Linked DNA regions of Ovis aries. The protein of the gene in region 2 purifies or fractionates together with the protein of the main gene of each other region. This does not show direct contact. Links are inferred from orthologs where the notes say so. Each region holds a gene or a part of one and is shown on either strand. Other genes may lie near its edges.

What was found. Proteins that work in one complex are often made in the same cells at the same time.
Region 1: the proteins of USP48 (region 2) and histone H2AX purify together in Homo sapiens (affinity purification with mass spectrometry; 3 studies listed by BioGRID). This does not show direct contact. The link is inferred for Ovis aries from reciprocal best matches to the Homo sapiens genes USP48 and H2AX.

The regions. Positions count from the first base shown.
Region 1 is NC_056068.1:29,402,691-29,405,876, reverse strand, and holds histone H2AX, read left to right. Parts: upstream 1-1,239; 5' UTR 1,240-1,312; coding exon 1,313-1,744; 3' UTR 1,745-2,548; downstream 2,549-3,186. Other genes in the region: DPAGT1 (UDP-N-acetylglucosamine--dolichyl-phosphate N-acetylglucosaminephosphotransferase), read left to right, coding at 1-25; HMBS (porphobilinogen deaminase), read right to left, coding at 3,161-3,186. UniProt on the Homo sapiens protein: Variant histone H2A which replaces conventional H2A in a subset of nucleosomes. Nucleosomes wrap and compact DNA into chromatin, limiting DNA accessibility to the cellular machineries which require DNA as a template.
Region 2 is NC_056055.1:244,805,622-244,809,267, reverse strand, and holds part of USP48 (ubiquitin carboxyl-terminal hydrolase 48), read right to left. Parts: intron 3,363-3,646; coding exon 3,238-3,362; intron 3,072-3,237; coding exon 2,949-3,071; intron 2,649-2,948; coding exon 2,587-2,648; intron 2,318-2,586; coding exon 2,207-2,317; intron 1,530-2,206; coding exon 1,399-1,529; intron 1,042-1,398; coding exon 935-1,041; intron 1-934.

The DNA.
Region 1 (3,186 bases), on a different chromosome or scaffold from region 2:
TGTCCGACTCTTCTATGATGTCTGAGGCCCCGATCCATTGCCCTTTGCTTCACAGCCTCCGGGGTTACTGACTCAGGCCAACATCTCCTGGACCAAGACTGCCAACTAGCCCAGGCCTCTCCCACCCTTCATTTTCCTCCAGATTTTGTTCTCAGCATTTCCTTTCCCCTGTGATTATTGACACGTGGGCCTGTCTCACTCTCTAATGACTGGTGATTGGACTTTGCCTATGGCTTTCTTCAGCTTGCCACTCTCCCTCTCCATCCCATCTTTGCTGCCTCCTAAGTTGGGGTACTGTAGCTTTTATGCAATTGCCCACAACTCTGACACTCAAGGAGAATGCTGGACTTGGGGACAGAACCCTGGCTGGGGATAGAGACACAGGTTCAAAGGTGACTTGACATTTGACTATAAATTAAGTATTCTGATGATTAAGAGCAGACCGGGGGCCAGGTGCTCCCAGTGGTGACAATAAAGTATTGTCTTTTTCTTCTTGTTCCTATAGGTATATTTCCTATGTGGGCATTGTAGGGTGGATGGGGAAGGTTGAAGGAGGTATTTCCTCGGAGAGGATGCCTATCTCTGTCCCATCCTTTTTTCTTTCTTTCTTTTTTTTTAAGCACATCAGGCGCCTCCTAGCAAGAAGTGATCAGAAAGAACAGACCAGACAGAACATGTTGAATAAATGTGAAATCTGCTGCTTGGGTGGCATAAAGGGCCATAAGATTGGGGTTATCTGTTCTCTGGGGTAGGGTTGGACTTTAAGTGGGGGTCTCATTCCTTCCCTTTTTCACTCTTCTTTTGCCAGGTAGGAGGAGGGAGTGACCAGACCTAGGACGGGAGGCAGAGGTAGTTGTGGTGTTGACTCTTTTCCTTTAAAAATCTTAGGCCTGCCTTGCGCAGACTTCCCAGACGCTCTTGAGGTGGCTTCCGATTCTACCCTTCTTGTCTTCCGGTTCTGGTCTCGGGCTATAGCGTTTAAATCTGGCGCGCTTCACTTGGATTGGCTACAGCCGAGACTGGCTGGCTGTCGGGTAGTCTCTGCGCCTCCTCCCGTGTTCCCCGGGCAAAGGGTTTTCAAATTCGGCCAATCGGCGGACGCGTTCCCTCAACTGGGGCGCGTCACCGAAGAGTTAACCTCAGCCAACCAGAGGCGGGTATTCGAGAAAAGAGCCAATCAGAAAGGCGCGGGGGTGTGCCCTGAGGGGCTTATAAGGGCAGCCCGTGGTCGCGCGCGGAAGCGTTAGACTGCGGCGGGTGGTTGTTCCTGTGTTTTGTTAGCCGTCCTCACCGCTCCTCTACCTCATACAGCATGTCTGGCCGCGGCAAGACCGGCGGCAAGGCCCGCGCCAAGGCCAAGTCGCGCTCTTCGCGAGCAGGCCTCCAGTTTCCCGTGGGCCGCGTGCACCGGCTGCTGCGGAAGGGCCACTACGCCGAGAGGGTGGGCGCCGGCGCGCCGGTCTACCTGGCGGCGGTACTCGAGTACCTCACCGCCGAGATCCTGGAGCTGGCGGGCAACGCGGCTCGCGACAACAAGAAGACGCGGATAATCCCCCGCCACCTGCAGCTGGCCATCCGCAACGACGAGGAGCTCAACAAGCTGCTGGGCGGCGTGACGATCGCCCAGGGAGGCGTCCTGCCCAACATCCAGGCCGTGCTGCTGCCTAAGAAGACCAGCGCCACCGTGGGGCCGAAGGCGCCAGCGGGCGGCAAGAAGGCCACCCAGGCCTCTCAGGAGTACTGAGGGCGCCCGTGCCGCCACCGCCCAGCCCTCCCCTCTACACCACAAAGGCCCTTTTAAGGGCCACCACAGCACTCACAGAAAGAGCTGGGCCACTTCGGGCTCCCGGCCTGGCGGCCGCGCTGTCGCCCCTTCCCGGCCCGCCCCTCCCCCCCGCGGCTGGCTCCCGCCGAAGCCCGGCGGAGGGCGTGCGTTCGAACGCCGCTCGGCCCCGGGAGCGAGCTCGTGACTCGGCCGGCTTGGCCCCAGAATGCCGATGGGCTGCGGGGAGGCCGCGGCACCTTCCGGAAAGCCGGGCCGGGGAGTGCGGGAGGAAGGTGAGTCGGTGCGGACGGTCGCCGCCGAGGCCGTGCGCTCTGCTTCAGCTCGGTGCTTAGTACAGGACTCGATTGTCGCCGCCGGCGGAGTCAATCGGTTGCTTCATTTCGTCCCAGGACCCCTTTTGTTGCCGGATCTCGGGCCTCGCACGTCCGCGTTCCCTCCATCTTCATTCGCAGGCCTGTGCGCGTACTGGAAGAAACCCTTCGCGGCGTGACCGTCTCCAATACTAGCGGGTCCTGGCGGCGTGGGGTCTGCGGGAGCCCTGCCTCCGGGCCCGCCCCTCCTCCCCACTCCCTTCCCGTCGGGTCCATTCCGCCTGCCAAGCACCTAGATACCAGCACAAGTCCGTTAATCCCCGTCTGGACTGAGCCGCCTTTGGCTTCGGAACTGGAATTTTGCAGCTAACCCATCCAAAACTAGTACTTTAGGTATTGGGGGGAGTTTCAGATGGACTAATTTTATTAAAGGGTTTTTTCCTAAAGAAAAGTGAGTTGTGTTCATTTTGCAAAAGGGTTGTAGAGTCGACTCTGTAGATACCTAAAGGTAGTGGGGGAGGGGAACCGATATAAGGCTTTACTGTTAACTGGAGCGACAAATTGTAGATTATTAAGATGATGGCTTTCTTGGCGTTCCCTGGGAGACACTCGATTCTGTCAAAAAATGGGAACTACTGACAGAAGGCGTTTTTCAGGAGAACTTTGAAAGGGTCCTAGCCTCAGAGATCAGGCATAAATAAAGAGTTTTGAGTTTGTCCTTCCTTTTCTGCAGCTCCACCAAAAACAAAAACCACCTTTAAATTTGGTTTATTAGTAGAACTGGTTACATTCAAAGGCTGTGGCTTCTTATTAAGATTTTTTTTTTCTCTAGAGAGGAAGCCCCCTCCTTGCCTCCTGGGGAGGCAAGGCCCCTCGGTGAGACAAGTCTCTGGAAGTCTCTGCCCCTGCAGTTCAATCCTGTGGGGGTAGCCACTCCTCAGGTAGCAGAGGGCTGGGATGTAGGCACTGGACACCAGCAAGGCAGGCACCTGTGCCCCACAGACCAATTAGTGGGCTTCATTGAGCTGCCGTGCAACATCCAAGATATTCTTGGCTCCTTTGTTCAGCAACAACGTGGCCAGGCTGATG
Region 2 (3,646 bases):
AGATTGCCGGGAGAAACAACCACAACCTCAGATATGCAGATGATACCACTCTAAAAGCAGAAAGCAAAGAGGAACTAAAGAGCCTCTTGATGAGAATGAAAGAGGAGAGTGAAACAGCTGGCTTAAAACTCAACATTCAGAAAACTAAGATCATGGCATCTGGTCCCATCACTTCATGGCAAACAGATGGGGAAAATGTGGAAACAGTGACAGATTTTGTTTTCTTGGGCTCCAGAATCACTGCAGATGGTGACTGCGGCCATGAAATTAAAAGACACTGGGTCCTTGGAAGAAAAGCTACGGCAAACCTAGACACTGTATTAAAAAGCAGAGACGTCACTTTGCCAACAAAGATCCATATAGTCAAAGCTATGGTTTTTCCAGTAGTTGTGTATGGATTTGAGAGTTGGACCATAAAGAAGAATTGATGTTTTTGAACTGTGGTGCTGGAGAAGACTCTTGAGAGTCCCTTGGACTACAAAGAGATCAAACCTGTCAACCCTAAAGGAAATCAATCCTGAATATTCACTGGAAGGACTGATGCTAAAACTCCAATACTTTGCCCACCTGATGATAAGAGCCGACTCATTAAAAAAGACCCTGATGCTGGGAAAGATTAAGGGCAGGAGGAGAAGGGGATGACAGAGGATGAGATGGCTGGATGGCATCACTGACTCAATGGATATGGGTTTGAGCAAATTCTGGGTGAAGGACAGGGAAGCCCGGCGTGCTGCCGTCCATGGGGCCACAAAGAGTTGAACGTGACTTAGTGACCGAACAACAGACCCACATAAATTTATGTAACTATTCCTCTTCCATTCCAGTCCAATGGCTCCACCCTTCAAAGGAACTCCAGGCAATATTCAGTGAAAATCAAACAAGTCAAAAAGCAAGCTTAATCATTACTAGTCATGGCCACAAGAGGGACTGGTACCTTCTTATTATCCACAACTTTATGGACGTAGATGGTGGCTTGAGTGTATTCACGCAGGTCCCTCTGCTGTTGACACAATAAGCCTTCTCGACATTCTGGACAGAGCTCTAAGAAAAAAGGTTTTATTTATTTATTTATTTTAAAAAAGGTAAAAGAGCAGTGGCTGAGGAATCACTACCAAAAGAAGGAAAGATCTAAAGGAACATTTCAAAGTTACCAGAGAGTATTTATCAAACTACTCCTCTTATTTTTTAATGGCTGTATTTTATCATATGCAAATAAGTAAATTTTTACTGTCAAAAAACATACAAGTACAGTCATTATATGATACTTTCCAGCTAAGGAATATAGAATGGACCACCACGAGCTCTTTAAGTAAAGAATACAATACTGACATACTCTTTCCCTCCCAGTTAAAATTGTAACTTTTAACTACATAAACCAAGAGCAATTTGAACACTTACTAGGCTCAGAAATATACTGTGTTTCTGAAGGGCTTGCATCACCTCCTTCAGTTCTCGTGATTTTAATTACATGATCCACGACAAAGAGCTTTTGTATCATTTGCCACTCACTGGGCCATATGAGAGCTATACTGTGCAAAAAAACACAACATGCTTTAAGACACAAGGACATAATCCATCTGTAAACCACAACTATCAAAACCACTATTTAATACAAAAAAATTGAGAAGGGAAAGATACACCAACACGAATGGTAGTTTTTCAAATTAAAGAATGCTATGACTTTCTTTTGTATGAAAAAAAGCAGAGAAACTAAATGTACTGGAGTCACACGAATCAACACGGCTAAACCTCAAAAACCAAAATTGAGCCAAGAAATTAGCTACAGAGGGGAACGACGTAACCTAGAGACACTGCCCTGGGTACTAGCAATTTCTAAGGAGAAAGCGGGGCTCCAGGAAGGAGAGGGGAGAAATAAGAGCAAGTAGCCTCAGGCAGCCTCCTGACTTTTACGGAGAAGCAGTCTTTCTTTTCAGTATATGTGCTGCCAAAGTGAGCACAACAAGCAGTCTTAAAAAAAAAAAGACAAGCCAACCTCTGGTTACACCAGAGGAAATAATCCCACAGCGAGCACAAGAAGCAGCCTTTAGAAAAAAAAGACAAGCCAACCTCTGGTTATACCAGAGGAAATAATCCCACAATTCAAGAAAAGATTGGTTCTTAAAATAGACTGTGTTAGACGAGATGTTTCCTAAACACATTCTATTAACCATCGGAAACAAACATTGCATGAAGAGAAGAAACTCACAGTTTAGAATCTTCTTTGGTCATGGAAGCAAATGTAAACATGAGGCCCCCGTGGGGACACAGGAGAGCGCTGTTTCCAACCGATGACACAGGACTGCACCTGGTAGGTTTCCTACTCAAATGAGCAAAGGACGATCAATATACTTCACTATGGCATGACTGAAGAGAAGATTTTTTATGATTATTTAAAAATTAGAGACATTTTTCATGGATATTAATAACTAAATGTACTTCTAAGGATTATTCATTTAAATTCTCAGGAAAAAAGATTTCAGTATAGGCTGTTATAGTAAAAGGTAAGGTACCATGATTACAATTCATGAATTAAAAATACTGTAATCAAAAATAAAAAAAAGGAAATGGGTAGCCTTTGGAATTTACCTGACAAATTTTCGCCACTCTTCTACAAAGAACTGTGACACAATGTAGAGGACATCTGTTTCCTGGAGCAGAAAAATCAGACCAAAGTATCTCTTAAATTCACTGCATTCTTAACCTAAATCCTATAGAGAAAATGTCTCCATATACTGTGGGTTTTCCCTTTCAAGTCTCATAAATAAAATGGAAATAGAGCCCTCTACCAAGCAACCACGAGCAAGAGTCGAATCCTCCAGATTAGAAAACTATACAAATTTAAGAAACAGAGACAATCTCATTATTCTGAAAGCACTGTTCACTCAGGAACTTGGCAAGGGCCTTACAAAGGTGAGATGGATTCTACCCCTTTGTGGGAATCATGATACCTCCGGCCAGTTACTAAGACACGGTCTGTTTTTGTCCTGGAACAAATTTGGAAGAGAAGTTTTCTGCTCGTTTGCAATCATCTTATGTAAGGCTTCGTTTTCTTCCCCTTCTCTTTCTAGAATCTGAAAGAGAATCAAGCAGGAAGCGATCAGCCATCCCCAGCTGCCAGCACAGGACCTGCCGCCTCCCTGCACCTCCACTCAAAGCGCAGTGCCAGTCCTCCTGGCAAATCAGTCCAGGGAGGAGACCTGTGGCTCCCCAGCTGCCAGGGCCGCGGGCGGCACGTACCTTGCATTGTGAACAGCACTCCCTGGAGCTTGGGAATTCGGGAGCCTTCGGAAAGTACTGCTGCAGTTTGCTCCAAGCCTCTTTAGAAACAAGCCTTCTTTCATTTTCTGATATGCATAATTCGCCTAGGTCAAAAAAAAAGGTGGGGGGGGGGGGAGTTTGGAAAAAATAAGTTAATATATACCCTGCCAAAATCTACTTAATACCAATTGGTAGCGCTTCTTATCCTTCTGTTCCAAAGTGCTGTAATTTTCTCTCTCTCTCCAATTTCAAAATCTCTAAATTTTAAATTTCATCTAATTCTAAAGGAGCTAGCCATTCCTTTGTCCTTAATCTAGGTCTTTCCTCCTGCCAGTGAAGGAAGCAATATAAAAGGGCTTCCAGAGGTTCTGGGGTGCCACCGTGGAGG